4 linked regions of the Lytechinus pictus genome follow. The protein of the gene in region 2 purifies or fractionates together with the protein of the main gene of each other region. This does not show direct contact. Links are inferred from orthologs where the notes say so. Each region holds a gene or a part of one and is shown on either strand. Other genes may lie near its edges. The genes, in order: DNA replication licensing factor mcm2-like, mini-chromosome maintenance complex-binding protein-like, DNA helicase MCM8-like and kelch-like ECH-associated protein 1B.

Region 1 (8,340 bases), on a different chromosome or scaffold from region 2:
AAATTCTAGAGGATTGGAAACAGGTGGTGGTCGTAAAATGCTCTTATAGAATGTCCATTTGTCATGTTTCCCGGGGGGGGGGGGGGGGGGGGGGGGACTCAACCAAAAAAGTATGCCGTGGGCGAGACAAAAAACGGGGGCCTTGGAGCGGGCTTATTGTAAAAAGGAGGGTCGGAACAGGCTTCGGAACGAAATGTTTGTGAAAACATGAACGGGTCGCCTGCGTATGCATCCCTATGGAACGGTCTGTTCTAATTCAACATGTCCTATCTCTAAGCCTCCCTGCTTCAGTTAGCCAAGCCTTCACCTCTGCTCATCCCCTCATCCTTGCCACTAATATCTTATTACCCTCCTCGCACCTATCTGTCACTCTTGCTGCCAATGTTATGACCCACTGCCTCAGATACATTCTTAAAATTCATCATATTCGCTTAGTCTTAGAGAAATTACTTCAACACAACAACCAACCTGTGGATAGCCGCTGATCCTCAGATACCTGGGGAAGAACAACAAAGAAGAAGGAACGTGCATGCAGCTAGCCCGGCAACACGGGCGCCGGGTACGCTAGCGCAGAGGCGACGGTCGGACAGCCCTCTGTGGCCACTTTTCACCAAAACTGCGGCTCATTGTATTACATCAAGCGCGGCCGGAACGGCACAACAGAAAATATGCGAAGCTTTGGTCTTTTTGGAGCAGATTTCTTCCTTTTTTCTCGATAAGAAAATGCTATGCTTTGGAGCAGCTTTCTTTGTTCTTTTTCTCAATAAGACAAAAATGCTATGCCTTGGAATGGAAATTTGAGTGTAAAAATGGGGGTCCCCTCCGCGGCACATACCCACTATGCATTATATATTGAGTGCCCCCCCCCCCCTGGCCCGGGCATGTTTGTAAGTAATATAGGTCCATCAAGATCTAACTGTTAACGAGTTCAGTTAGATCGACTCTAGATAATTAAATTATTGGACTTGCCTACATAGACCTAGATCTAGACTATTACCGGCATAATTGTACTTGATGCCCCCAGGGGACATCAACTTTTTTACCTTGATTCGTGGATCCTCGACCCGACCCTGTTTATCATCGGCGAGTTGATATCCATCCGCGCGTGGTTCGGTTGATCGCGCAACAAATAAAGTAATTGGGGGCATCAAGTACAAGTAATATAAGAGAGACGAGCTTTAGCTCTCAAGGTTACATTAGCTATCAAGGTTAATTTTGCCAACAAGGTTAATTTTGGCTACAAGGTTAATTTTGTTGAAATTTTTGGGGGCATCAAGTACAAGTAATATAAGAGAGACGAGCTATAGCTCTCAAAGTTACATTAGCTATCAAGGTTAATTTTGCCAACAAGGTTAATTTTGGCTACAAGGTTAATTTTGTTGAAATTTTTGGGGGCATCAAGTCAAGTAATATAAGAGAGACGAGCTATAGCTCTCAAGGTTACATTAGCTATCAAGGTTAATTTTGCCAACAAGGTTAATTTTGGCTACAAGGTTAATTTTGTTGAAATTTTTGGGGGCATCAAGTACAAGTAATATAAGAGAGACGAGCTTTAGCTCTCAAGGTTACATTAGCTATCAAGGTTAATTTTGCCAACAAGGTTAATTTTGGCTACAAGGTTAATTTTGTTGAAATTTTTGGGGGCATCAAGTGCAAGTAATATAAGAGAGACGTACGTGCTATAGCTCTCAAGGTTACATTAGCTCTCAAGGTTAATTTTGCCAACAAGGTTAATTTTGGCTACAAGGTTAATTTTGTTGAAATTTTTGAGGGCATCAAGTGCAAGTAATATAAGAGAGACGAGCTATAGCTCTCAAGGTTACATTAGCTATCAAGGTTAATTTTGCCAACAAGGTTAATTTTGGCTACAAGGTTAATTTTGTTGAAATTTTTGGGGGCATCAAGTACAAGTAATATAAGAGAGACCAGCTTTAGCTCTCAAGGTTACATTAGCTATCAAGGTTAATTTTGGCTACAAGGTTAATTTTGTTGAAATTTTTGGGGGCATCAAGTGCAAGTAATATAAGAGAGACGAGCTATAGCTCTCAAGGTTACATTAGCTCTCAAGGTTAATTTTGCCAACAAGGTTAATTTTGGCTACAAGGTTAATTTTGTTGAAATTTTTGGGGGCATCAAGTACAAGTAATAATAGAGAGATTATTCTCTAGCTATCAAGGTTAATTTAGCCAATAAGGTTAATTCGTTTCGACGATGTTATGAAGGCTTGCGCGGCTAGAAAATAGAAAAAGAGGGGAAATGGGGTTAGTGGAATGTAAACTTCTGAATAAACATGCTGAATAACTGGAAAATTTGGGGGCATCAAGTACAAGTAATAATAGAGAGTTTATTCTCTAGCTATCAAGGTTAATTTTGTCAACACTTCTAGTTCTAGGATTACTCGCCGGATCACTGCTTTCATCAATTTTGGGGGCATCAAGTGCAAGTAATAAGAGGATAGATGAGGAGGCAAGGATGCGCGCTCATCTAGATGCACCTGTTTGCGCATTTGTACTCGCATCTCATATGGGGTGCGCTAGCGCAAACCAGAACTACTTTCTATTTTTTTTTATAGTGAGAAAAGAAATGTTTACATTTTGGTAACGAAGAATCATCGGGAAATCAAGGAGTACCAAAAGGTAAAAACGTTGATGTCCCCTGGGGGCATCAAGTACAATTATGCCCTGATACCGAGACTCTAAGTCTAACGGTCGCGACGTTAAAACGCAAACGCCACGATCAGGAGATGTAAAATTTCCACCATTTTTAAATACCCATATAACAATTACACACGTGCAAACCATACCGGTACCGGTAGGCGGCGGTACTTAAAATGTTAAATCTAGTAACACCCGCATCACAACATCAACTCGCAACTCGTCTCGGTCTGACTATCGGTCTTCACATCAGGTTTCTCATTTATTAAACCATCCTCAGATTCAATATTCTTTAGAAAAATACAATAATACTTACAGCCATCTTTTCTCAGATATAACAAAATTTGTTGCAGTGCAATCGGTCTGTGGAGATTCACTCGGAGTTTGTTTTCTTTCTGCACCAATGTTCACATGTGTAGAAATTCGCGGCCAGCTGTTTCCCGCAATAGGACACTCGTGATCAAAATCCCCGCGAAACTGTTGAGCAAAACGAAGAAAGTAGTCTGCGTAAACAGACTCTGAACACAGTAAACCAGGTTCAAATTAATTTTCCACTTTACATTTTTCACATTTACCATTGGCGGACCCATGGGAAAGCTGCAGTAGTTCCATATTGGCGGTGCAAAAAAAAAAAAAAAAAGTGAAGGAAGGGGGGATATATTAAAGAGAAAGACGAAAAGTGAATGAATTGAGGCTAGCCTAGGGGAATAACAGACCAAATTAATGCTGTGTCTCCATCGTTTTGTCGGTTTTTCTGCTGGACTAAGTAGAATTTGTTATTTGTAATTATTTCTCTATTTTTTAAACAATAGATTTAACTTGTCTTTTAATTCACTTGATTTATTTTGCTATAGCTTGCTTCGAGGTCTATGCTTCGATTAAGTATAAAATCTAACTCCGGGATCTAACTCCAAATAGGCGAAGATAGTTATTAGGGCCCCGGTTAGGGCCTATACTTATAAAATCATGTTCAATACACTTATATTTTTCAATTAACGCCTTATTCAAACAATACCTAAATATTAGGTAAGAGCAAGTAAATGTTAATATCTATTTGTGTTTGAAATTGTTTTGAATTTGGGTGTGCAAAATATTTTATTCTTTAGTTGAATCAACGAAAGAGCATCATTGAACATAGTCATGACACGTCTGATTTCTTTTTAGGTTTTCGGAAAATGTTAATATTATCAATTTTATTTGTTAGGATGAACCGGTCGCGTATAAATGTAAATGTTCGAGTACTTCCGGTACCTATCATTTAGGCCCTACAGGCATAGTGACAATGCATTAAAGTCTAATATTTGGATAAAAATGTCTAAAGTGAAAATGATGCCAAAATTACTTAAAGTGGGACGATGGGGGAACGGACTTTCGAATAACGAAAGTCCACTCCGGCACTCCCCCCTCAGTTTTTTTGAGTGATTGTTTTACTCAATTGAATTAAGTTGTTATAACTTAATTTACTTGAGTAAAATTGATGCAAAGTAATAATTAAATTTTACTAAAAATTGCCAAACTTATATATATTTGAAAAAATCAAGGCATTTTTTTGCCTCAATTTATATAGGAGCAAAGATCTGCAGTGAATCTTTTGTACTGGTGGGAGGATTGTCTGCATGGCGGATTTCCTGTGAAAGTCTGCTATCTCATTTATTCTACATAATATTCACTTGAAGGAGGAGGAGGAGGAGAAACAAAAGAAGTAAAAAATTTTAATAAATAAATAAATAAATAAATGAATAAATAAATAAATAGGCCTAATCATAATTTTATGTAATATTGGAAAATATAGGCCTATAAACTTTCAGGTCATTATAATTATTTTTAAAAATGGCTCGCGCTTCGCACTCCTGTGAGCATATAGATGTCGATCACCGGGGAGGGGGGGGGGATAACCCCCTCTTTTTCAGATGGGGTGGCCTATAAAATGTTATCACCCCTGATAGGCCTATAACGAGGGAGTACAAGCTGATCGGATGATAGCCCGGGGATAATGGTAATCATGACTTGTGTAATATTATAATTGATTGTCGTACGTAGGCCAATACATGATGACAATTTTTTTCTCTGGATTAGTCTTACTAATGAAACCAATCCTTCTAGATATTGGTAGAAACAGAAGGGTGGAGAAAGAAATCAAATCCAAGATGAAATAGAATTAAAAGAAATAATAATGTCGTGACAGCACTCTTCTGAATGTCACAAAAAGAGTAATTTTTGTTCTTTAAAAGATCCATGCAGGTTTCTGATGTGAATAGAAATATTCAGGAAAACTAACAAGTGTAATGATATATGGCCCATTTTCATGTCGATTTTTCAATAATGCATGTGTATTCTTCAATACCGGTCTTTAGCACCCCACCCCCTTCAGATATTGGACTTGGAGGGTGCATGATGGACCCCCAACAACAACAAAATGTGAAAAAATAGAAAAGGAAAAGAAAAAGGGTGAAATATGATATGTTCTTTAATATGATGTCAAAATCTATTTAAAAAACTTGATTCTTGTAAAAAAAAAAGGATAAAACATTTAGATCCATATCTCCTCAACAATTTTCTTATACAAGTGCTTAAAATGTTCCCTTTGGTTATATCATCATCATCATCATCATCATCATATCAGCCATGTTCAGCCCACTGCAAGGCGAAGGCCTCCTCAAGTTGGTGCCAAAGGCGCTTGTCTTGTCATGCTTGTGCTGATGCAATCCAATTTATGCCAATGAATTTTGTGAGCTCGTCACTCCATCTCAATTTTTGTCTACCCCGATTTCGTGATCCTAGCCATGGTCTCCATTCTGTAATGCGTTTGGTCCACCTATTATCATGTGATCTTGCAAGGTGGCCAGCCCATCTGATTCTCCATTTCGTTGATTTAATTGCTTTGATTATGTCTATTACTCTAGTCTGGCTCCTAATCCATTGTATGGTTTTCCTGTCACGTTTTGATATCCGTATCATTATACGTTCCATACTGTGTTGAGTGGTTTTTAATTTCTGTTCCATTTTCTTTGTTACAGACCATGCAGGTTTCAGAACCATAGGTCATTGCCGGTATAACGCATTGATTAAATACTTTTCTCTTAAGGCAAATTGGCATATTGCTCTTCATAATGTCATTGAAATTCCCAAAAGCGATCCATCCAGCTCTTGTCCTCCAATTGTTCATGATCCATTCTGACGTGTTGCCCAAGGTAGATATACAGCGCGTCCCCAAAAAAATGTCCCTCTGACAAAGGGCTGAATTAATTCTAAAATGTGGAAGTATTCTCAAATAAATGTTTATGAGCAGAAAGCTCATTTCATGATCTAACTTCTGGGAAAATTTCATTGGTCGCGCTTCAGCGGTTTTGAATACATACTCTGTTACGTAACAGTGGTGCATTTTAGCCCATTCCAAGTTTGCAGCATTGATGCATTTCTGCATTGTCTATGGCATATATTAACCCCCATTTGTACATCCAAGATGATACGGGGAATCAGTGCACCAACTTGGAAAGAAAATGTGAATGAGGGATGAGTAAAATAAGCTGAAAAATAAAGGTGAATCCACAAGTTAATCACCCTTTGCAAAAAGAAACTTTACCAGAGAAAAAATTGACCTCTTTTTTCTTTTAAAAAGTTTCATTGACCACAGTAGCTTATTAACTAAAAAAATAATGAAAACAAAAATGCAGTATTAGGCATGAAGTAGGCATGAATTAGGCATGAAACAGACATGACCAGTTAGTGTCTTTAATCATTGTGCATCTCCTATTATCAAACATGAAATGAACTGTCAAATATTGCTTTTGCCCTTTTGAACATGCTCAAGGTTGTGATTTGATGAGCTTGGTTAGATCATGGAGACTTCCCTGATCAGATCAGGGAATACCTTGGTCAGAATGTTCAAAGGGGGTTGATATGCTAGAAAGTGCAGAACACACAGCAGTGCTGCATGCATGCAAACTTGGAATGGGCTGAAAAGCACCACTGTTACATAATAGACTGTGTATTCAAAACCACTGAAGCGAGACCAATAAGATTTTTAAAGAAGTTAGAACATGATATGAGCTTCCTAGTCTTATACATTTCATTGAGAATATTTTTTTATTTTTTGAAGTAATTTAGCCGCATATCAGAGGGACATTTTTGGGGGGACGCGCTGTAATGATCTACTTTCTCGACTTCAGAATTATCCATTATGATTCTTTCCTCCTTAGCAAATTTGTTGAACATTATTTTTGTCTTTTTCATGTTGATCTTCAGACCTACTTTGTTACTTTCAGTGTTGAGATCGTTGAGCATATTTTCTAGCTTGTGGCCATCATCAGTAATTAGAATGATACCATTGGCAAATCTCAGGTGGTGGAGACACTCCACTCACCTTCAATGTTCAATATATATATCAAGTTCAAGTTCAAGTTTATTTATTCAAAACCAAAAACATCACATCATAATCAAAATAGATATTACATACAACGTAAATGAGTGCATGAACATACATCAATTATATTATAGCATAGACGAATTCGTTTTAGGACCCCTTTAAAAGCAAAGCTTGTGAGAATACTTATGATTATTCACATAAAACATAGTATATACTGATCTACAAGATACAAAAGGAGAGGGAAAAAATAGATATATAATAAGGTTAAGATGCTAAAAATAGAATGGAAAACTATTACAAACACACATATATACACACACACACCCACACACAACCGCATTCACCCACATAATTATGCACACTTACTAAACATAAATTCTGAGTAGGTCATCAACTTAAATGCAAATACATCCTTTCTTACACAAAATATGGGCATATGATCTGAAATATCTGAGTAAATTACACCAGAGCAAAATTCATTTTGAATGCAATTAGTGAAAATAGCATCCATCAGGGTTGCACTGTCTTCTGTAACACTCGATAGGTTTTGTGATAAGAGAGAACATTCCAAAGGAGTACATAAAATCAACAAAACTTTTAACACATTGATCATTATCATAATTCAATAAATTTATGTTAAAATCACCCATCAAATAGATCTCCTTGTTCTCTCTACTCACAAACTGTAGCTGATGTTCAAAATCCTCAATAAAAGACATACTATCATAGTTTGGTGCCCTATATACACAACCAATAATAACCTTTCAGAGTGAATTGTTGTTTCAACAAAGACTACTTCATACCATGTCTTAGAACCAGACAGATCTTCACGTAATTCAAAATCTATGTCATCTTTTACATATACAAGCATGTCCCACCCCCGATTTTCCTGCCCTACATTTATGAACGCAAGAATAGCCAGGTATCTGAAACAGTCGGATATCAGTAGCATCTTTCAAACCAAGTTTCTGTATAACACCTATTACTGAGAAATCATGTTTTAAGCATGACAGTAAATGTAACAGATCATCAAAATTTTTACATAAACTTCTGGCATTCAAATGCATAAGATTAAAATTTCCCTCTTTATTCTGATCAAATACCTCACAATTAATATAATCACAACTTCTGGCATTCAAATGCATAAGATTAAAATTTCCCTCTTTATTCTGATCAAATACCTCACAATTAATATAATCACAACTTCTTAATATTATGTTTACATCTTCTTCAACAATGGTATCCACTAGTAATTATTAAAGAAAATCGATGACACATTAAATATTTTGTACATATATGAATCTGTTATGATACTACTCA
Region 2 (8,344 bases):
ACCATCATTATCACTACTACTACTACTACTACTACTACTACTGCATGTACTTCTATTTTAAGTATTACAACAGAAAAGGATATTTGTTTGATCCAGTTGTTTTCTCCTGGTACTGGAACACAATATAATGTCTGACGATCACAAGTGACATTCCTTCTTGATTCAAGGTTGACTTCTAGATCGCGACTATTCTCTGCTATATCCTGATACTTCCCAGTTCTTAGGAACTTCAGAAAAGAGAAAATAAAAATGACACCAATTTTACCTAACTGCATCTGTTCATTTATTCATCTGTTTCATTAAAAAAAAAATAGTTTAGCCCGACGAACTTAGCTTAACTAGCTTTGTTTTCAAGGGTACCCTGTATACAAGTAATCCATTTCAACAATGATTTTTTTAATATATAGAATTAGAAAATAAAACAGATAGACATAAGACATCATAAAACCAATATTATTGTCAATCTACATGAGGCATTCAATACCAATACCATCCAGTCACTTATTAAACTGAGGGAGGAAAAAATTTGAAGAAAAATAAACACTGTATATTCCACACAAATCCTCAAATGGTAAGGCCATTGGGTGATTTTTAAGGAAGGTGTTGGCCTCCTGGCACTAGTATTGTGCCGACGTTTACATTTATAATACCTCAGTCACATTTGTTCTACGGCGGCGGTACGGCAGGTTCATTTTTATTCAAACCACCTGTATGTAGCTATTACAAAAATGTGAAAATGGCTGTTTTCGACTCGCCGTACAGCCGCCAGAGCAAATGTGACTGAGGTATATAACTGGCCTGAAGCCAGTGTGTAGATATAATCTGAGTAAAAGCAGGTAAAGGCCATGTGAACTAAAATGAAAAAAAAAAACCTTAGATGACCTCCCGACATAGCAACACTAAAATAAGGCAAATGGGTATTCCAAACATCAAGCATCCTTGATCATATAAAGTGGGTGAATAAAAAAGAGCTTTCATTCTTTGATATCTAAACCGAGGTATTAATTCATCAAAGTGGAATTAAAAGCTATTCATGGGAAACCCATGTTACTTGTGTCTGATCGAAATGCACAAAGACTCCTCTAGGGTCTTAAATATATGTGGGATATTATCCAGTGATTTAGGACAGTGACTTTGTAAGTACAAACTGGTCTATTGAATCTCAAACCCCTGTAAATATTTTGCACCCCCAACCCACCCCTATCCCAGTTTGCTCTTGGTAGACTGGGTCAACCTCTATATTATCTAGTGATTTAGGACAGTGACTTTGTAAACTGGTCTATTGACTCTCAAACCCCTCCATATTTTGCACCCCCAACCCACCCCCATCCCAGTTTGCTCTTGGTAGACTGGGTCAACCTCTATTCACTTACTGTGGTATTGCTGGCTTTATCTTGGACCTCGTAGACCCCAAGGTAGTACTCTGGATCAAACATATCCTGCACCATACATCGGTACCGGACCAGTGAGTTGGGCTTTAATGTGTGGAGCGGTGTGTGGTTAAGAGATGGAATCTGAAATAAAACCCAAAATAATACAGGAAGGGTATATTCAGAGCACAGAACTTTTCAACAAAGTATATTCTACATGTCCCATCAATCGATGGTAATTATTACGGGGATTCTGTGGTTCGAATTGAAGAACAGAGATGGATATTACAAACAAACAATGAGAATTTTGTCTTGGATGTAGCACCAAATCTTCAAAGATGAGTGAAATAGAAGCATGTACATGTCCAAAGAAATCTATGAAATCAGATGAGAGCTTACTGACTGATTCGGCATGTAAACTGATATAAAACACATTGACGAGGTATAATCAGGTACATTTTTTTCTCTTGAACAAAACAACAATTACAATTAACAGGGAATAACTTGGATCTCGGGAATGATGGCTGAAAATAAAATAAAAGGCCACAAGATGTATACAGTAAGGTTTACTCTTCAGTAATAAAGCAGATTTAAATGGTCCTTGTCTTAAATAGAAAGGTGTAAAAAAGGAACAATAGGCTAAAGAAGTTAAAAGGTAGAAGTCAACGCCATTAGAAGTGTAAGTCCTCTCTTCCTAAGGATAATTGTGTATCAACAGAAAAAAAATTACCCTCTGCCATGCTGTGAAATCACTCAGACGATTTTTGAAGTACCCGTCGACATTGTTACTCCATTCTTTATTTTCAGCATCTGCACATGAATTGAAAAACAAACAATAAAGAAATAGTAGACTTTTTCAAGTCTCTTCAATAACTTAACTTAAAAATAAAGTTAAACCAGACTATCTAAGTTAAGTTGTCTTGTCAAGCTACAGTATTTCTTGATTTTATAATACTAATAATGTGCCAATAAAATACATGCACATGATGCACTACACAGACTCATGAAGAAGACCAAAAGAAGACTATTCATTCCAATTATTCTTTGTTGTCTTCTTTAGCTCTCAATCCTCCTCATTTAATCTTCTTTTTCTCCATCACATCCTTCTTCTTCCTCTTATTGTTAGGGGCCTAGACAACCCTCTCTTAATATTCCTAATTCCTCTTTCTACTTCTTCTCTTCCCATCTTTCTTCCCCAGGAAATAATTTTGCTATAAATCAAAGTCAAGATCAAAATAGCATTTTTGGTCACAAGAGAAAAGCTCGCAACCAAGTTCTTTAGATAAACTGCTTAGGCCTATGTGGAAATAATCTGCTACACAAAAGAATTTTGGTGTAGAGTCTAGATCTAGCAGTCTTTAAAAAATGTAGAGCAAATTTCAACGCAATACCAGGAAAATCATCCAACTCCTTCTCTGCTCCATATTTCTTTTTTCTTCTTCCTCTTCTTGAATCTTGTTCTCATTCATATATTTCATTCTCCTTCTTCCTTCCTCCTTCTTCCCCCTTCCCCTCTTCCTTTTCCTCTTCATTCTATTATCTCCTTCTTCTTTTCCATCCCCTTCCTCATCCAAACCATGAATTCGTTACTCACCAAATAAACTCTGTACAATGTCAAGAGGTGAATTCACCCAGTCATCTATTCCTGGCATGATTGAGAAGTCTGACTCTGACTTGACTTCACTTAACTTCACTTCGGCACTTCAATTCAGTGGAAAATGATGATATCAAAAAAAGTAAAATCGACTCAGATCTTCAAAAAGAAAACAACGAGAATTTTGTTCCTAGATCTCACAGAAAAGTCAGATCTTCCAAGTGCAAGAAATTCTCTTTCTTCACGTTGAGCCGGCCGTATATCGTATCAACACAGCAAATTTAAATGCCCCACTGCAACACAATGCTTTGCACACATGATTCATTCATCGCGCGAAATTTGCATTGTGGCGCGGGAAAGTCCGGACATTTAAATTGACCTTTGACCTCATTCATATGCGGATATATGACGTGTACACATCGAACAGAACCGAACCGGTGAATATGGCAGACCAAAAAGGGAACAGCCCACCTCCTTTATTGTTATGTTCGACTAATGATAGTATAACACCTGGAATTTTTCGACCCGTGCCTGCAACAGCATCGTTATTTCCTACAGGTTAGTATTCCAAGATGTTTTATTTGGTGGATATTTCATACATTATGTTGTCCCCACTTTTTTATTTAGTCCCACTTGTTTATATTTTTGTCACATTGTTAATGTTAGTCAGAATCTATGATCATAGACATAGAAACAATCGATCTGCTGTTTCGATTCAAGACAACAAGACAACAAGACAGCGCCTTGTTGATCAAGCTGCTGCAAACAGTGACATAGCTCATTATTTTACCATGCTGCACTGCAACTAAAGGCTTGCAGTTCTCCAGGGAACGGAGGAATTCAACACAGAAGATCGAAGAAGAAGATAGAAGACAAAATTTTGGTAGGGAATAGGTGTTTGGGTTGTTTCTTTTATCTTTTTGAAAAGCAAGTCTCCTGCTGAGTATCGTAGAAGTAGAATCTAGAAGTATGTGCCCAAAATATCGGACACTTAAATTTGACCAAAACAAAAAATCAATCATTGTCATTGATTGAATCAAATAAAAATCATTTGTATTTTCATAAGTATGATGGGGTGACCATTATTTGCGCACATTTTAAAAATTGATTTTTTCAATCCAAAATTTCTCACAGTTTACACAAAAGTAATCAAAATCATAATACACCAAACAAACGGAAGGCAAGATTCCAAAGTCAAATTAGCATGAGCTTGAAGGAATTGAAAGTAGGCCAAGGGTTTCGCCGGTATCGCGATCTCAAAATTCCATGACGATCGACTAGTGCGGGCACGGCTGAAAAAGCGTCATAAAAAAGTGTAACCTTAATTTGCGCACAATCGTTTTGCACAGCTTTAGAAAATAAAATCAAACAGAAAAAGGTAAGATAGTTATATCTGATGGAGGTTAAAATGCCATAACATTTGACTTACTTATTTGGATACCTCTGCTTGCAAACTGGCGATTTCTTGATGCTTGTCGAGAAGTTTAGATTTTTTCGGAGCAGACGCAAAAGGTAACAAAATTTGCCAATGTTTTGCCAATATTTTCACAAATTGAGACCTTACCTTCAAGGAAATTACCATACTTTGTATTGTAATTTTGGATCGCTTTTTCTGTTGGCGATATCAGTTTTTCAATATATTAATTAGATATTGAAATATTCGACTGTGCGAAAAATTAGGTAACGCGCGAATTAAGGTCACACCACCATACAAATGTTGAATATTAATGTCATAAAAAAAAAGAAATGAAAAAAATATGGTAAACGGAAATTATTCGCTTACTACCAGAAGCTTGTTTTTTTGCCAAATATCGGACGCAGTTTCCAAGTTGTGCGCCGCGATCAATTTCGGCAATTTAAATCGCGCTCTATACATCAAAATAATTGCTTGATTGTTGAGAAAATTATTACTATCAATAATTTTGATATAGAAATCGTTAAGTAATAACTATTTTCTTTATTTTTCTTACGATAGATCAAATATATGCGATCTCGGCAGCAATATTTCTGGCGGAAATCACTTCCTTACGATATTTTTTTGGTCATTGATCTTTTGGTGTCCATAATTAGCAATTGTTGTTGTTGTTGTTCGTTGTGGGTCGTTTCCACACCCAAATGATCTCCTAGTCGGTATTCTCTCAGTGTGTTTGTCACAAGGTTGATGAGCTGCTAGGTACTATTTGCAAGGGTCATAAGAATCTTTCGAAGTCAAAATCACGGATTTTACCCCTGGATTTAACCCCTGGAATATTTTTTTTGAGCAGCAACCTGGATCTACTGTGTGTGCAGTTCAATAGCAGATATGTTCATGTATCTCATGCATGCAAGTCCCCCACCAGTGCGGGTCCCTGTAGTTGTGGGGAGGGAGTTAAAGTAATTTTCATCCGATATTTGGAACCGTCCGATGTTTGGGGGTTTTACTCTAACTAGTAGTGTGCGCTACATGTATGCTGAAAAAGTGTCATAATAGTATGATCTTCTTCTTCTTCTTCTCTATAAGTACAGGCCACCGTCTGGTGTATTGTCGTACTGTGATCGGGGGACCTAAAGCTACACAATTTTAATATTTGAACAAAGCTTTCATTAATTTGTTGCAAACATTCTAAAGATCATTAACCAAGAAGAAAATACAATTTTGTGACTTTGGATTCATAAACCAATTGATGTACCAGGCTATAGCCCCTCTATGATTGACCCAACATCTTAATTATTGACATGTGCTTAGTAAATTTATTGAAGCTATCCGAACCGACCTGTACAATGCAACTTAAAGGTCTGAAAGATGGCAGCTTATGCCTTAAGTTCAATGTTTAACAATGTAAGGTGGTTCATATGGGAAAGAAAAATCTTCATAATAATTGCATCATGAATGGAGAGGAGTTGAAGCCCAACAAAAGTGAAAAAGGCCTTGGAGTAATTATTGTTGGGAATTAAATTTACACCAGCATGTGTCAAATGTAGTGCAGAAAGCAAATCAAATTGTTGGAATGATTAAGATAACATTTCAGAAATTCAGAGAATATCAAGGGAAATGCTTTCCATTTTGTTCACCATACTTGTACAACCTCATCTTGAATATAGTAACATTCTGTGGCATTTGCGGTATAAATTGGACTGAGATAAAGTCGAAAGGGTTCAAGGTAGAGCAACAAATTGCAGAAACAATGACACGTCCCTTGAATATGAGTAACACTATGTACAACCAGCTGTGAAAAACTAAAAGATTTATGAAGTATCTTTCTTTGTATTGTCAGATGAAGACGGTGAAGCGGATAGCTTCTTGGGGCAGAATGATCCTCCAGATCTCCAAGTAGGGGCTCCACCCCCACTCTCAAACCAACAAGCCACACCCTCAACATTCTCCTACTTCCAGCAACAGCAGCAGACCTCGGGCCCTGCCCCATCAGACCCATTCGCAGGAATATCCTCACAGGGTCAGACATCCTTTGCCTCGCCCTTGCCCCAACCTGCCCCACTGACGGGTCCTGCAGCTGTGCCAACATATGCACCGACAAACCAGTTTGGGCCACCGCCTTCAGTGCAGGCCCCACCCCAGGCAGTGCCGTTCACATCAGCTCAGAATATACCCCCTCAGCCTCGTGGAGTACACTTTCAAGATGAGCCCCCTCCAGGTATGCCCTCATTTTTCCCCATCTATTCAATGAGCTTAGAACTGTATTTATATGCTTAAAGGAAATGTGGCCTCCTTTCGAAATCTGTCACCTCTCTTCCCTTGTATTAGCTCAATTTGTGTACAAAGACAATGGGAGTGATGTCACAAGGGGAGGGGAAGGACAAGGACATCACCAGCACTGACAAAATAAATGGCAGCGAATTGACGGGTGACTTACTTTGTGATAATGCCAAAAATTTGATTATTTGCGTCCTCTTGCATGAAAATTCTCTGTGCCATGTGTTGAATAGAGTAGAACCTTATGTGATGCTAAATGTACAAAGATAAGAATAATTGTCTTCATAAGCAATAGCCATTGTGGGCAGATTTCCTAGTGAATTTATGTTTCATTTCTTGACCTTTCTCAAATTATTGAATGAGATCAGTATTAAATAGGACTTTCTAAAGATGATTTTCTAAACTTGTAATAAACTTGTATTTTAAAAGGGATACCATTGAACTCATTTAATTTGCTCATACCACAACTTCCAACACTAACTATGTAAGTATTGTTAAAAACAATTTACCTTTAGCTATTCAAAAGTTTTTTTTTTAAATCTCCTTTTGTATGCACAAACATTGTAGAAATTATTGAACAACAATTTTTAAGTTTTACTGGATTCAATTTTCATGTAGAATTTCATTTTATCAATGAAATATTTTTTTTAATACACTTTTTCAAACACGCAGGCCCACCACCTCAAGTCACCAGCTATTCCCCTAGTGCTCCTCCTCCAACTGGTGTTCTTCCACCAAGTGCCACCCCTCCCTCTGGACAAGCTGGGGCAAGGTTTGGTATTAAAGGGTACCAACACAAGCCCATGGCATACCCAATAGATGGTGTGACTCCAGCAAGCGGGCCCTTACCCCCAGGCATTTTGGCGCCACCTCCAAAATTACAGCAGGTACGGGTTATTTCAAGAATTTGTTTACATGAAATTTTTACTTTTGAAAGTGTGTCATGGTGTTTTGTATTATTAGTAATTATGATTCAGTGTTTTGTTTGCTCGTTTTATTTCACTATTTATTCAAATCAACTTGTTGATGAACTTGGCCTTTGATAAATTATTTTCTAAAAAGGCTTTTCTTAATTTTATGTACAAGAAAATGTTACAGCAACCAACTGACTAAATGATGGTTAGAAATAATAATGATGATAAGAATCTAACTGAATTTATAAAGCGCTTTTTACCTGAGGATACAAAGCGCTGCTATTATCCTGGCTCTAGCCTGACTGCTAAGAAAGCATGGATGCTTGTTAAGAAGTAAACAGAGGTCCAACAGAATATTTAGTGCCCTTTCCAAGGGAGCTGGTAATGAAGATAAATGCCTAACCAAATGGCACAAGGATTATGAGACCACCAATCTACTGACTGAGCTACCATGCCTCCTCTTACATATTCCTTCCCAGTATGATGCAAGCAAACCACCTCCCACGTCAGCAGAGATCCAGCAGCAGACCCAATCCACCCTTGGAGGATCCCCTAGGTCCGGGGGTGCATACCAGACCATCCAACCCCATTGGTTCTACTGTAAGGAGATGGAGAAAAGAAACGTCTGGGTGCCGTTCAGCATCATTGATTCAATCAAACTGGAAGAGGCCATGCTTAGAGGTATGCATTCGAATGCTTGCTTCATGATCAAATTGCAGTCCAATTGGGAAAGCAATTGTAGTAGCATTTGATATGAACGTTCCAACTTGTAAAA
Region 3 (8,083 bases), on a different chromosome or scaffold from region 2:
CGAAGCCGTAAAACAACTGGAAAAAATTCTAATTTCTTTGTTTCTTGAACCTTCCTGTAATCCCGTATCCAAAATTCATGCTAAGCCATCGAATGCTAGACAAATTCTGAAAGTGATTGTGAGGTTGTGATGCAAGAAATGTGAAAGACAGACTTTCACAATTTGATAAGATGTACTGGTACTCTGGTAGTGGTACCGTATCGAAGTTTGCAATGTACATGTACAAGAACGGCAGTGCTGTGTGTGTGTACACTGTGACTGTGAGGTGAGTGAGTGTGTAAGTGGCCAATATTGTCGGGACCTTTCTTTCTTGCTAACATTTGTAGATGAATTGATAAAGAACAGCAGATTTCCGCATACCGGTAATCTCTTTGAATACTTTGAAATCTTTAACTTAGCTTTTGTTTCTTCGTACCTCAAATATGCATGTAAATGTGAGAAGGATTTTTTTTTTTTTTTTTTTTTTTTTTTTAGTCCAAAGTTTGGGGTGCGGTTAATACACCGTTACTTACGGTATATCATAACCTTGTTCATTGAATGAGTGCTTGGCTGGGGCCTGGTCCTGTCATCACATGCTACTAAGTACTGGGAAAAAACAAAACATTGTTATTAAATCAAAGAAGATACGGCTCTCAAATGTGTCCGAATGTACGTCTGACCTTTATGGAATGCCCCTACATGCACACTAAGTTGTAGTTAGGCAATGATAGAGGAAGGCGGGGTAAGTTAAATTGTGACACTTTTTGCTTTTTGCATGTTAGAATTGATATGATTAATAATCTTGTAGAAATAAGTACCTTGCCTTAAAATGTAATTCTTCTGAAATATTTTTCACCTATAAATATAACTTTCTACCCCCACACTGAAAGTCGATCATTGTCACCTTTAAAAAAAGATCGAGGTGTCAAATGGCTCAACTTGCCCATCTGTGGGGTAAGTTGAGCCACAAAAACTATACCGTACAAAATGTATGGGGGAAGAACCAGCATTTTATTCAAAGTCTATTCACTTGCTAATTCTCTATAAATACTAACATCCTCTAAAAGGAAAAGAACAGTCATGTAAATTTGCTCCTTTCTGCCTGCAAATCAATGGCTTTTAAAGTTTTTTTTATACATTACCATAACTAAGAATTCCATTGCTCAACTTGCCCCATGTTGGCTGGGTCAACTTACCCCAATCCAAACTAAGTTAATGCGATATTTTCACATCCACACATTTCTTATGCATCCATCATGTAAAATACTTTGACAAGAATGAGGATCCATACCTAGACTAACAACGTTGTTCTTATGCATGTCTTTATATTTAAAGATGTGTGTGCAAAAAACACTTTAAATCTCTTTCACACCCTTTATTTTGACTTTTTGGGCTTAAATTTGTATTTTTCCCTCTAAAAAATACTTTTTGTTGTTAGGGGTTATGCAATGGGTCATCAATACATGACACCACCACAATGTCTGACTCATTCATTATTGGCCTGGCTGGGGGTGGTGGCTCAACTTGCCCCCCCCCCCTATGCTCAACTTACTGTGCCCGCCTTCCCTTGGCATATACGGCTAAGCAGAGCAGGCGTGCGAGCTCCCGGCCGGCTGGGACTAGCGGGCGGAGGCTAGCTGCTAGAGAGCGCAGAGCCAACGTTAGACTCTAACTTGTAGGATAGGGTGTCGGGTGTCTGCCGTCCGGACACATTATATTTTTAAAGCTTTCTTTTTTGTCTTTGGATTACACTACATGTATGAATTCAATAGTTGTAATCATCTTCTATTTTGTTCTTTATAATATTTCCTAACATTTTGTAGGATGGGGGGTCGGGTGTCCGGACACTTTATATTTTTGAAGCCTTCTTTTTTGTCTTAGGATTACACTAAAAATATGAATTCAATGGAAGTAATCATCTTCTATTTTGTTCTCTATAATATTTCCTAATATTTTGTATGATGGGGTGTCCAAACTTCGCGCACTTTTCAAAAATATTCATCAGGCTTAATTTTGTTCGCAAAATATTCATAATTTATACAAAACCAATTCAAGAAATAGTTACCACATTGACGGCAAGATCGTAAACTATAAAATCATGGACGAAAATGTAAAGTAGGTCAAGGGGTTTCGCCGGTATCGCGATCTCAAAATTCTATTCTGATCGGCGAATGCGGGCTGTGCTGGAAAACCGTTTAGAAAAGTGTGACCTAACTTCGCGCACCAAAGCTTTTGTGGAGATTTAAACAAAAACTCAAGTTCAAAAAGTGAAAAATTAAATCAGATTGATGGCAAAATGCTATGGAATCGGTTAGTACCACATTTAACTCACATTTTTGATGATTTCTGCTTGCAAAATGGTGATATCGTGATGCTTGTGATTTCTTCAAAACGGGCGCTAGCGGTGACAAATTTGCCGATCTTTTGCCAATATTTTCATGAATACTGAACTCATCATAAAGAAACTTTCATTATACGGTAATTTTAGGTCGCTTTTCACGTTGATGATGTCAGATTTTAAGGATATTTGCTAGTTTTTTAGATAAGGACCGTCCGCGAAGTATGGACACGCGCGAAGTTTGGACACACTGCCATACTAAAAACTGATGAAACTTCGCTTGTAAATTTTTCCAAATGACTTTCTAAAATTGATCGTCCGTACCACACAACCTGTCATGCCTGTCCGGACACACAACAACTGGGTATACGTTAGAGCTGAGGATCAAGTAACCCAGGGAGCTCCGGCCCGCACAGCGGGCCGGAGCCCAGGGGCTTACCGTGAAAATTGATTCATAACAAAAATGGCCGATCGAGACGGGGGTAGGAGAGATCTTTTCGTTTTTTTTAAGTTCCAGTCTGTGCCTCGAGGTTCGATGTCAGGAAACTGCCACTCGTTAGACCTTGTTCATGTTCATCCATATAATCATGGTAAGTGCATAATTTCTGTTTTCACAATTCATTTGGAGAAATATTTAGACCATAAATCACGCTAGTCCCGGTCAGATACACGGTAAGCCCCTGGGCTCCGGCGCGCTGCGCGGGCCGGAGACCCCTGGGTTAAGGATCAAGGAGCCACTAACCCAGCCAGGCCATGGAGCTCCAGCCCGCTGGGTTAACTTAAGGAGCAGCCAGAAATCCGAGCAAAACTGGATATCAATTTCTAAGAGACCACAGATACCATGAATATCTTCAATCAATTTTCAGGTACCGGTACCGTAAATTAGTAAAATAGGTCAGTTACCATCTACTTACATAATATAGGCCTAATCGACTTCAGAATTCGAAAACTGCGCCAGAAACTCTGCTCTTGCTTGGCTTGTGAAAATTAGTCTACCAAAAGGCACATTTTGTCGAACTTTGAGTCAATGCTGGGGGCCAAGAAATGAGATGGGACGTGAGGCCGTGTAAATAAAAAAGGAAATAAAATCACCATTGCCTCGCATGTTGTGTGAGTGGGTCCCGACCATGGTGCAAAGGTGAGCAGTGGAAAATTGGAAATAAGACTAATTCGCTGATGAAAACCGAAACGTACATTACCCCGCGATCTCCATGTAGGATCTGTATACCTCCAGACCATAGACTCCATGCCATGGCCTTTCTAAATACTAACTGTTAGTGTTACCAGTAGATCTACAATTGTTGCTGATTGAATGACTCCTCAATCTTCTTCTCTCGGAGTTGGAGTTGGATAGTCTAGTGCCCAATGGATCTTCATCAACTCACCAGACGTTGATTTCATTCTTCACAAACCATGTGTATGTTATTGTTAGTTGTTACTAGTACTACATGTATCTTTTTTACTTATTTTAGGGTGTAAAAAACACGAAAATAATGAAAAAGGCCTATTTCGCCAGGAAAACTATGTGTTTACGGTCCAATTTGCGAGGGTATAAAAAGATTAAATACTTGAATAAGGATGTACTTTTTGCCCCAATATGTGTATAAAAAACTTTTTAAAGCCAAAGGGTCCGATTTGAGCAAGGTGTGTTGGGTGGTACAAAACCCAGGGAAAGTAAAGCTAAGGTAAATAAGCCGACGTCCTTAACGGGCCGGGGCTTAACCTAACAGTTAAAGTAGAACTATATTGAAAATCGTAAAAATGGAGAATCATATATCAAATTAAGGGAGAAAATAAGGAGAACACGATGGTGTAAATCATTTATCATAGAGACCGATGGAACTCAGTTAATTGATAGTTTAAAGTTCTCTCTCTGAATGCTTCAAACACGCAGAATTACGTCCGCGAAATTGGGGATTTTTTATGACGTCACTTTCTGTACGAGAGGCGTGATTGGCTCTCCAACGTGAAGCTCCACTTGCATGCAAAACCTGTTGCGAGGGTACGTTTTCTCTACATTGTCACTGAATACTTCGATCCCGAAATGAAAGAAAACCCAGAAGTTTATCTAGATTTGGATTTTCAAATTGATGATTATGAAGATGAAGAGAATGATGATGAAGTTTCTAGCTCTAGAAAAGCAAAGTGACGTGGATAGAGGTATACATTAGGGGAATTACGCCAGTGATTATGAGTCGGATAATTCAACTTGCATGCCGATTCGCTACCAACACATGCAGCTGATAGCTGCTCCGCGGGTCAAATCCATGAAAATGGATTCCATCACGACCACATCCAGACAGAGTCTCTTTCTTTTATCAACAACATAATGAGAATGAAAATAATGATATAACTGTACTTACAAACAAGTGAATATATCCGAACCTAGCTAGGCTGAAGGTAAATCAACTCAAGGAATAACAGCAGACGATATGCACCGACGATGAATTTCACGTGGCTGGGAGATTGTCACTCGTTCTGTTAGATAAAATTTCTATCTCATTATTTTGACTAAATTACGAAACTCGGAGAATAAGTATTCTACATAAAAATTAAGTAACACCTGGTACTATATTTTTTGAATTACGATAAAACCTTTTTGAAGCAAAGAAAATGAGGTGAATTAAAATTAGATATAAAAGATCATCCGCCTAGCTCGCATTCGATTGTAAACAATCAGCAAGGCGAGCACATAGAGTTGGATAAAGCTACGCTTTATCCAACTCTATGGGCGAGCAAGCCACTGAACTGAAAATACGTATTTTCAGTTCAGTGGAGCAAGCTGGCCATGTGCTTTTGATTGTTTGTTTACAATCGCATGCGGCTAAGGGGATGATCCTTTATATCTTATTTTAATTTACCTCAATTTCTTTGCTTCAAAAATATTTTATCGTAATTCAAAAAATAGTACCAGGTGTTACTTAATTTTTATGTAAAATACTAATTCTCCGAGTTTCGTAATTTAGTCAAAATAATGAGATATACATTTTATCTAACAGAACGAGTGACAATCTATTCCAGCCACGTGAAATTCATCGTCGGTGCATATCGTCTGCTGCTATTCCTTGAGTTGATTTACCTTCAGCCTAGGTTCGGATATATATTCACTTATTTGTAAGTACAGTTATTTTATTATTTTCCTTCTCATTATGTTGTTGATAGAGGAAAGAGACTCTGTGTGGATGTGGTCATGCTACATGGAATTCATTTTCATGGATTTGACCCGCGGTGCAGCTAGCAGCTGCATGCGTTGGTAGCGAATCGGCTTGCAAGTTGAATTGTCCTACTCATCATCACCGCCGTAATTCCCTTAATTTACCACCATCCACGTCACTTTGTTTTTCTAGAGTTAGAAACTTTATCATCATTCTCTTCATCTGCATAATCATCAATTTGAAAATCCAAATCTAGATAAACTTCTGGGTTTTCTTTCATTTCATGATCGAAGTATTCAGTGTCAGTGTGGAGAAAACGTACCCTCGCAACAGGTTTTGCATGCAAGTGGAGCTTGACGTGGGAGAGCCAATCACGCCTCTCGTACAGACAGTGACGTCATCAAATTCGAGTCAATTCAGAGACCGATGCGAGGCATATTTCGGAGAGGCATTTTAGCGCTTTTTAATTGGCGATTTCCACCTTATGTATTATTTTCGTTATTTTTGAATGACCTAATGGTAATCCTCACATCATTACCTCTCCACTGATATATAATAAGGCCATATTCATAATCAATATATTTCTCCTTTAAGATATTGTTGTACTAGTTTAGGGGTTCCATTCAGGGAATACTTGTCAAGGGTACCGTTCTGTTAAATTTGTTTCCAATACTTGTTAAGGGTATAGGCCCTAGGGTTTTACACGCCAATCCTTGTTAAGGGGTGAATTTTCAGAACATGGAAAATACTTGTATAGGGTGCTTTTTGAAACCCCAAGGTCATGCATGGAATCCACTCTGACCACTCGTCAATGGAAGTGCCACCCTTTTTTCTCTCTATTTTCAGTATTGTATTTCTTGATTTCTTTCTGTGAATTGGAAAATGAATGGATCACTTGTGATGTATCATTTATAAAGTTATGAAATTTATGAAGCCAGATTATGCTTGTATTCACTGGAAGAAGCGATAAAAGAATACTTTAAAATAAATGATGCAGTGGCCTGACAGCCAACATTAAACTTGAGAGGGGGGTGCTGCCCGGGTTTAAAGACCATGCAAGCAGCAATTGTCACATGTCGACATTATAAGTTAGATTTGGTTATTCCCCCAAACTGCATGTCACTATAAATATATTCCAATTCATTTCTAGATTCGATCTACATGTATATGAATGTGTATAGTGAGTGATTGTATTACCGACCAGCCTTGTATTACAGAACACACGCATCATGTGCATTAGAAAATAATTTCATATGCTCAAGACTGCAACATCCTTCCAAAGGGAACTTGAATAAAAAGATAATGAAAAATAGTCAAAAACACATTTTCAAAGTCTTTATAAAATATGGTAAAAATAGCTCATTTTTTTTTGTTTTCTCAACTTTTCCCATAGAAAACACACACTCGGTAATACAATACCTTTTTCAAGTGACCAAAATATTTTACATGCGAAGAGGGGTCCAATTGGAAGCTGAATCGTGAAAAAGAAATACGATTAAGTACTGCAATTTTTTTTTACATATTTATATTTTGTAGGTATTTGTGTATTTATGGTGAAAGTTTGGTGAATTTTATGAGAATAATGTGGTTGATATGATTGAATTCATGAAAAGTGTTCGCTGATACAATCCACTACCATATGTGACCTACCACCCCAAAACCACCAATAAGTTGCCAGGTAAGGTTCTCTGTAAATAGCCATAATAGTAATTTAATCTCCAACAACAAAAATTAGAAAAAATAGCTTATCTGAAAGAGCAATTCTTCTTTTTCATACTGTGAAAGTTTGAAGTCGTGAAGTTGAATAAAAGAAAAGATACCAGAGTTTCTTGGACACTCCTCTTTCGGACTGCTTGGAAGTTTCACTAAGATTACACAGTTTGCATATATACATGCTGTTTTATTGGATCAATTTTACATCAAAATTTTATTTTGATCAGGTTCCTGGTCAAAATACCCCTTCTTAAGCATGGAATGGGATGAAAAAAGTAATCTTTTGTAGTTTTATTTCTAACAATATCTAATTACAAAATTTGTTAGTTCAAAGACAAATGGCTGCCTTATTTTGTATAATTTACTCTACCGGCTAAAAAACTGGCAAATGGGACTGATGACATCACCCACTAACTATTTATTTGTATTTTATTGTATGAAATATCAATTTTCTCATTGTCATGTGAAACAAAAGTTTTATTACATCCTGAACACATGGAATTACCTTTTTTTTTCTTTTTGGCATTCTTCGGTTCAATCAGGAGGGTCTCTTTGTCAAAAGAAATAGTGAGTGACACATTCAACTCTCTACTTTTTATAAAGCCTTTAACCTTGAAAAATATGAGAAACTGTCATACCTTTCTTATTTTACATCTGGATCCCGTTTCATAAAGACTTGTTATTATAACAAATGTACAATTTCTATTAACAAATTTACAATTAGCCAATCACAATGAAGGATTTCTGTAGCTTTTAACTGTTATTGAAAAAAGAATTAAATTTAATTTGTGGTTCTTAACAGTTGCTGTTCTAAAAACGCTAAAATATCAACATTAATTTTGAAAAAAATGCCACACACAGATATGCACATTTTATTGAAATAGCAGAAGGTAAATCA
Region 4 (7,756 bases), on a different chromosome or scaffold from region 2:
CCAGGGACTGTGCTTTTCAAGATAGAAAATCGCCATGACTTGCAGAATTTATCATGTATTGGACTTGCTCCGTTGTTGGGTGCTTTGTTTACATATAACCCAATCTGCTGCCTTTGATCCAGTGTATTTTGGAATGGAAAAAAAATGAAATCAGTGTGGATTGCGTTTTTTTTTTTCAAAACTGAAATATATGCCATATCATGTTCAGAATAAGTAGGCAGTACAGTAATATTGCAATTCATCAATTTGATATCAGGGCCTGCTTTGTGGGAATGAATGTTGGTACCTTGGACTTTCAAGATATGGATTGTGATATGATAGATGATGATGATTATGATGATGATGATAGTGGTGGTGGTGGTAGTGGTGGTGGTGGTGGTGGTGGTAGTGGTGGTGGTGGTGGTGGTGGTGGTGGTGGTGGTGGTGGTGGTGGTGGTGGTGATGATGATGATGATGATGATGATGATGATGATGATGATGATGATGATGATGATGATGATGATGATGATGATGATGATGATGATGTTGATGATGTTGACGATGATGATGGTGATGATGATGATGATGATAATGATATCTATAGTTCCATTAGCTTCATGACCTTGCCCCTGTACCTTGATTGTTAGCTATTGTTAGCTACATGTAGCTCTAAGTTCATTTCTTTGCTCTAAGCTCAAGTACTAACTAGCTTTTTCTCAAAAAGATACACCCATTGTATTTATAACTGTTTTGGTAACTGCTCTCTATGCTAATTTGCTCTAAGGAGGATATCTATACTTTGGGGATGAATAAAGCTTGTTTTCTCAACACTTTGTAGAGTGTTAATTGCATTTCATCAGATCATCGTTTGAATAAAGCTCACAGTTCAAAGCTGGGTACCAGAAAATCTTTTAGTCAAATATACTGTCTGCCTTGGCTTATCGTTCGCCTGTAAAAATAGGTTGGCTAGAGTGTCAAGTTTTCATGCATTGTCATTGTTTGATGAACATACAGAGCTACAGTCGTGTACATGTACTGTACGTATGTACGTAACTATGAAATTGTGTTTTTATACAGAGAATCCAAATTCAAGCTCATATTGGCTGATTCGAGAGACTCTTATGTATCAACACGCTCAACCTCTAGGTGGTATATGTCCGGGGGGGGGGGGGGGGGCAGTCAAATATATTGCTGTTCACATGCGTGGCCAAAAAAACGCATTTTAAGGGGTGTTTTTTTTTTCAGCTGTGGACGCGGGCTGCGCGTGCAATTGTTAAGGGTATCAAAAACACTGATTTTCAAGAAAAAGGGTGGTTTTGAAAAACTGGTCAATGGTCAATCGCGGGGTCAAACGTATTTAGGGTATGTTTTTTTAAAGACTAGCCAAACCTGTTTAGGGTATGTTTTTTCCCAAAGCTTTTACCCCGAGGTCATATTCTGGCGACAACTTGTTTGGGGCCAAATTGTGTAAATAAAGCCCACAAAAAACTTGTTAAGGGGTTATCTTGCACACACAGAAAAAACTTGTTTAGTGGGTGTTTGGAAATAATTTGGTCATGCGTGTGTTCAGCAATACATTTGACTGCCCCCCCCCCCCCCGGCATATGCTTTGTTTAAAGAGTCTCGGCAAAATTCAAGCAGTCTTCCGGCATCCTCTCAAATCCGCCTGGTACATGTATCTGCTGAAATGCATTCCAATGTTTGATTCTCTGTATGAAACATGAAAATAGTTTTAGACAAGTTTCTGATGTAATTTCGTGAAACGATTCTTTTCAGTGGGTCACGATTGACTTCATTTAGTAGGTGTAATCAAAATAGGTGTGTATAGACTCCCACTCAACAGAGCGTTTCGAAGAATCGCATTATCCTCATTTTTTTCTTGGGGTATATAGACCTGTGCTTTTGAAATATATTGTGATATGGTTTAATCCCTTATCATGTTTGTGCAAACAGTAAAATTCAGCAAAACGTGGTTTGAATTTCAAAATGCTGTTTCTTCCTATTCTTGCATTGAATGCCATTGCTATTAACTCACAAAAAGGGTTAATTTGGCTTTGATATCGTTTCAACAAGTCAGCCTCCAGGCATAACTCTGCATCACTTATCAATGCATTTTTTACACAACATTACATTTCTTGATACATGTATCTTTGCTTGGGTGTTAAAACCTTGTAATTCAAAATTTAACAATTTTTTAGGGCAGGCCAGAAAGAGTCAGTAGCGTACGCTGGGGGTGGTTGCAGGTGTTCAACCCCCCAAAAAAAAAATGTTGAAGACTTTTTTTTTGGCTTGTCAAAATTTGTGAAGACCTTTTTTTTGTTGTTGTTGTCAACTTTTCATTCAGCTTGAACCCCCCCCCCCTTTCAAAAATCCTGCGTACGCTACTAGAAAGAGTTGTATTTTATGATATGTATAGTATATTATAGCTTAGCTGGGGTAATATAGGAGTGCCTTGAGCACCTAGCAAGGTAGCCTCTTGTCGAGGCCCTGTCGGCTGCTTTCCGAGCGAACATGGCAAAGCAAGGGAGAGAGCGAAGCAGAGCGCCGCGAGACAGGGCCTCTTGACATCTGTGCCGAATTTCACCGACTTTCTTTTGTTTTTTATTGTTTTTACCAATTCACCGACCAAAAACTGGTCGGTGAAAATCATCCAATGAGAGCGCGGGCTGCTATGACGTCATATTAAATATTCATGAGCTCATCTTGAATAACGACCCTTTGATTCTTGGCGAAGAGTGACGACGAAATATCAAAGAGCATTGAATATGCCTCTAAAATGCTGAATATTGACCGATTTAAGGATTTGCAAGTCGATGAAATTAACTCTGCACTGAAAGGACGAGATGTCTTTGTAAATCTATCCACAGGATATGGAAAAAATTTAATATTTCATGCGATTCCACCGGTCGATCCGGGGCGTCGATTATCAATCTCCGCTGTACAGTGCATGCAGTGAAGGAAGCTGGGGTGGAGTTGCTGGGAGTTGACTCGAGTCTGACCAGCGGCTGAGCAGTATCTCCTGGGAAGTTTCGGGGCGGTGATGGGTCTGTTACGGCCAGTAGTAGTAGTAGTAGTAGTAGTACCACAACTTGTAGCATTTTGCTGGTTATATCCCCTTTAGTGTCCCGCAATTAAATGAATCCCCTGCAGAATAGTGGACTACTATCCCGGACTACTATAGTATTCCAAACCCAAGTCGAAACAGCTCTGACATTTCATTGGTTTACTCGGTGACCGGTAATATCATGACTCATGTATATTCATTAGGAAAACGTTCCTCATGAATATATAATTCGGTTCAGATGTCAAGAGGCCCTGGCTCGCGCCAGGCCTAATTCGCTTCGCGAATTAGGAAATCCCTCGCTTCGCTCGGGTAGCAGCCGCCAGGGCCTCAACAAGAGGCTACTAGCAAGGTGGATATGTGCACTATACAAATCCTATATTATTATTATTATTATATGGCAGTGGGAGCAACCTCATATTATCAGGAAACAGTCTCTTATTTCCTGTTGAGAACCCTTTCTAGGCAAAGGAAGGGTTCTTTATGTTTATAACTCTGGAATCAAGTTCTTTTTTAGCTATCTGTATTTCATTTATTTCTTTTAAATATGTATTACAAAATTTTAAACTCAAGCGACGATGTGCACCTGCATACAACTCATGGATATTGCACAACAGCTAGGTTTTTTTCCAACTCGTTGTCTTGCACAGTGTTAAGCAGATTCCCATCAATTGTGATTTTTTTAAATCCAAGTTTTACGTTTCTAAACATTCATGTAAAGGTAAGTATAAACACACCCCATGGCAGCGGGTGTGTGCTGCTTTCTGAATTTCCAACTTTGGTTTGTCTCAAGGAAACATCTTCACAAATTTTTCTTTCTTTTCTCATCTTCACATCTTTATAATTTAAAGGGGAGTCTATGCTGATGTCAAATTGCTCTTTATACAGCTAGGAAAGTGGCAGTTCTCCACCAGTTTTGAGCAGTTTCATATATATAGTTATTAGTTTACAGAAGGACTTATACATTAATCGTGGTTTTATTGGTACAATCATTAAAAGTAAACATGTGAAACAAGTAACTCTTCTATTAATTCTCAATGATTTGTATTAGTACACTTTCTCTTTGTTACATAATGCAATTCAAGTAGTTCCTGTTTGAATATTCTATTTATGGAAACTGGTGTTTGATATATCCCATTGTCTGAGTCTAGTCTTGAGAAGGGATTTAACTGACACTTGTTTATTTAGACCCACTTTTTATGAATCCAATGGAAAATGTGTCTTTGCAACACTATGATGAAGCCAGGCATCTTATCCACCAGGTTCTTTTTTTTTTCAAATAAAGAGAGGGAATAATTGACTTAATTCCCATTCACTTGGTTCATTTGTTAGATAGAGCATTTGTATCAGTTATTTTATGCTTCAATAGATTTCCATTGGACAGGGAGATGGATCAAAGCATAATTCCGTGATCAATAGTAGGTGTCCTATAGCCAAGGTACTTAGGAGTGATTGTGTGTGTAGAATAATGCTGAGTCACATATTCTTTAATACTCCACACTCAAAACCCTGACTGATCAGATAACATGCTACAGTGACCCTCACCTGCAGGCGATAGCATATTGCACCGTTCGTACACACACACACATACACACAACACACACTCTGTCATAAACGCACAGTCATGCCATGGTCGTGCATGCTGTGTGGACTCCCAACTCCTGCCTGCGCACGTATCTACCCGCCGATGCATTCTGGAAGGGAGATACGTAGGCAGTTGAATGAGTCCCAACCGTAAAATGGTTGGCTCGTAGCCGCCGCCGCAAGTTGAAGGTGTTTATAAGCAAGATGACTCGGAATAATTTGGCAGTATCCTACTTTACACTTGCTAGACGAAAACCGGCTTTTGTCATATTTCAGAACTACTAAATTCAATTCGGCCTGCAGGATATCTTTGTGTGTTTATAATTCATTGTATACCTCTGGTTTATCGCCAAATAGCATTGCTGGAATACATGTGCATCATTATATTCAGGATTTGTTTACCTTTACGAGTACATGTATGTGATTTACATCGAAAGATTCTCTGAGGTGTGCTTCGTGTTTCAAGTAACGAATAATCACGGAATAGTCACTGGACTGCTCTGAATATTGCGGATCTATCAACTGCAGAAATATTTTGGAATACTTTATTCTTGTCTTGTCTCTGTGTGGAATTTATTTCAAGAGTGGTATGTTTTACTCATTTTTTGAAGAAAACATATTCTAAATCCTCAGTATCATATTTTGTCTTAACTACCCTGTATGATGAAGATTAATTTTGTTTTGCATGATTGAAGAAACCATGGTGTATATAAGTGTAATTTCTTCAGTTTTGTTTTCATATTTGTAGGCCATGTATAAACTGAAAGACAAGTTTATTTCCTTTTTTTACTATATCATATGGTATTGAATTGATTTGAATCAAAAACATACTTTTCCAATTTTATACCAAATGTGTCAGCATATTTTGATGATGTATAGGCCCTGTTGGATATCATGCCTGAATTAAGGCCTCCCTGTTCTGTTTTTTTTTAATAGTCATTTATATTTATATAAATTTGGGTGATACTGATAGAATATCCCTCATTGATTTCCTTGTTTTGGTACATGGTTTCTAGTACTTACTTAAATGCATTTAAATCTCAGAGCTGCAGAGGCACATCTTACTTTTGTGTAGTGCATGTCACTACTCCAGTTCTTTACTAGATGAATGAATAAATTTGTAATACAGGATAAAGTGTGAGATTTTATGCGAAATATGATTGACTTGGGTGCCCGATCCAGTTAAAGTGTCTACATATTTTTTTTTACCTGCATGGAATGGACCCCAAAAATTCAAGTTGTACATAAATCTATGTAGCTTTCTTATCATATCATTAAATTTCTAAATTATGTGTTTGATTATCCCCTTTTTTTAACGAAAATGTTTAAAGTTGAAATAAAAAAAATTCAAATAAAAATGAAAATGTCGTTTAGGGGGTACTAGACATATAGACTAATCTTAAATTTGAATTTTAAAGATAAATGAAAGTAGTTGTAGTAAACACTGATTTCACGAGAAAATCTGTAAAACCAGGCTTAATTGTCACTGTATCATCGAGGATCTAGATATGGTACAGTTACATAAACTGAACTTTGTGAAATCTTAAAATCTACGCTGAAAAATGTTCACACTGAAGATCACCAACACAGACAAGCGCACGTGGGACAGTGTATTATTCTTGCTTTGGATGTCGGCCCGACGCTTGACCCGAATCCCGTGCTTATTTGCTAATTTCTCAGCAATTACACAATTTCTTCCAGAATCCTTTGGCACATATTTTTTATTTATAAATACAAACAGACACTTTAGTGGTCATTTCATTGGATTCTGTACGAACTCATTATGATATCGTTACCACAACTGGCATTTATCATAAAATCAAGAATGAGAGTTGAGAGTAGAGAAAATATGCTGACTCAACCTAAGACCACCGAGCCAGGCAGTGATCATCCTTACGTAACCAAGTAAATGATAAATGTGACAGTTCCACCATCCGTGCTTGTAATTATAAAACCTACATGTACCGGCACATGGAGCATATTTTATTGCCTGCTTCTTATTTATTATTACCCTATAACACTCTGTCGCTATTTAAATTCAGGTTGTCTCATATACATGATAGTCTTGAGAGGAAGTAGGCCTATTTGTATTGTTTTGAGAGGAAGTATCTTAAATCAAAATACATGTAATGACAACTGCATGTAGGTGAAGATTAAAATCATTAATATGAGTAATTATACATTGATTAAGATTTATTAAGCTGCAGACTGTTTTGTGCTTACTACTAGGCAATAATACAAAAATCATTCGACATTCTGATAAAAAAATATAAATTCTTATTCTGATCCTAAATGCCGGCCACACAATTACTATCGAACTGAGAAAGAGAATGGGAATTGTGATCTCTGATAAAGTATGTTATTTTCTTAAAATTGGCAACTGTGAAGACATTTAAAATGGAACTGCAATTATTGAATTTTACTTATTATTATATTCAAACTTCATATCTTAAGAGACCAGAATATGTATTGATTATTGTCATTTTAGCATATTGTTATTTAAGCAGTGAAAAATAGGAGTATAAATGATTTACATGTAGGGCCCACAAAAAAGAGTCTATAAATGTATTGTAGTATACATGTAGTATAGAAGTCCCAGGAATGATAGATCAAGAAGCGTTCACTCCCCTTTCTGGGTCCTGATTTCAACCCGAGCGAGCGATCGGTGTCAACGAACAGCCACTCGGGTCGCCCTACAGAACCTAGCGCACAGTAAAAGATGCCGAGTCAGCAGTCTTGAGATTCTGTCTCACAGTGACCTGAATGACTCCACAAGATATCTTGCAATGATTCATAGCAGATGGGTCGAGGATCAAACCCAGGTCCTTTAATTGGATGAGATATGGAGTGGTCCAGGTGGGCTTGTAGTGGATCGACTTGCTCGATTTCCATGCGCTCTCCGAAAGTGGTTGGGAAGGAATCTGATTAACCTAGCTACGGTAATCCATTTATTTCCAACCCACTAATTTGGATGATTTGTATTAAGTAAATTTCATGAAATTATGCCAAATTCTTCAAGGTTTTCTAGATCCACACAGTTTGTGTTCATAGGTTGTTGTGCACAATTAGCCAAATTAATGTTAATATAACCTGAGTTTAATCTAATTCTGTATGGATTCACAAACACTTGAA

The links.
Region 1: the proteins of mini-chromosome maintenance complex-binding protein-like (region 2) and DNA replication licensing factor mcm2-like purify together in Homo sapiens (co-immunoprecipitation; 6 studies listed by BioGRID and IntAct, with this or other methods). This does not show direct contact. The link is inferred for Lytechinus pictus from reciprocal best matches to the Homo sapiens genes MCMBP and MCM2.
Region 3: the proteins of mini-chromosome maintenance complex-binding protein-like (region 2) and DNA helicase MCM8-like purify together in Homo sapiens (co-immunoprecipitation; 3 studies listed by BioGRID and IntAct, with this or other methods). This does not show direct contact. The link is inferred for Lytechinus pictus from reciprocal best matches to the Homo sapiens genes MCMBP and MCM8.
Region 4: the proteins of mini-chromosome maintenance complex-binding protein-like (region 2) and kelch-like ECH-associated protein 1B purify together in Homo sapiens (affinity purification with mass spectrometry; 3 studies listed by BioGRID and IntAct, with this or other methods). This does not show direct contact. The link is inferred for Lytechinus pictus from reciprocal best matches to the Homo sapiens genes MCMBP and KEAP1.

What each region holds. Positions count from the first base shown.
Region 1 is NC_087247.1:54,893,984-54,902,323, reverse strand, and holds the start of DNA replication licensing factor mcm2-like, read right to left. Parts: upstream 3,415-8,340; 5' UTR 2,977-3,414; coding exon 2,971-2,976; intron 1-2,970. UniProt on the Homo sapiens protein: Acts as a component of the MCM2-7 complex (MCM complex) which is the replicative helicase essential for 'once per cell cycle' DNA replication initiation and elongation in eukaryotic cells.
Region 2 is NC_087256.1:19,441,017-19,449,360, reverse strand, and holds the start of mini-chromosome maintenance complex-binding protein-like, read right to left. Parts: upstream 3,283-8,344; 5' UTR 3,023-3,282; coding exon 2,965-3,022; intron 2,181-2,964; coding exon 2,101-2,180; intron 1,515-2,100; coding exon 1,374-1,514; intron 228-1,373; coding exon 84-227; intron 1-83. Other genes in the region: phospholipase DDHD2-like, read left to right, coding at 3,408-3,522, 6,219-6,596, 7,328-7,542, 8,049-8,250. UniProt on the Homo sapiens protein: Associated component of the MCM complex that acts as a regulator of DNA replication.
Region 3 is NC_087251.1:4,115,635-4,123,717, forward strand, and holds the start of DNA helicase MCM8-like, read right to left. Parts: upstream 3,542-8,083; 5' UTR 3,232-3,541; intron 586-3,231; 5' UTR 513-585; intron 1-512. UniProt on the Homo sapiens protein: Component of the MCM8-MCM9 complex, a complex involved in the repair of double-stranded DNA breaks (DBSs) and DNA interstrand cross-links (ICLs) by homologous recombination (HR).
Region 4 is NC_087255.1:5,859,516-5,867,271, forward strand, and holds the start of kelch-like ECH-associated protein 1B, read left to right. Parts: upstream 1-4,617; 5' UTR 4,618-5,211; intron 5,212-7,756. UniProt on the Homo sapiens protein: Substrate-specific adapter of a BCR (BTB-CUL3-RBX1) E3 ubiquitin ligase complex that regulates the response to oxidative stress by targeting NFE2L2/NRF2 for ubiquitination.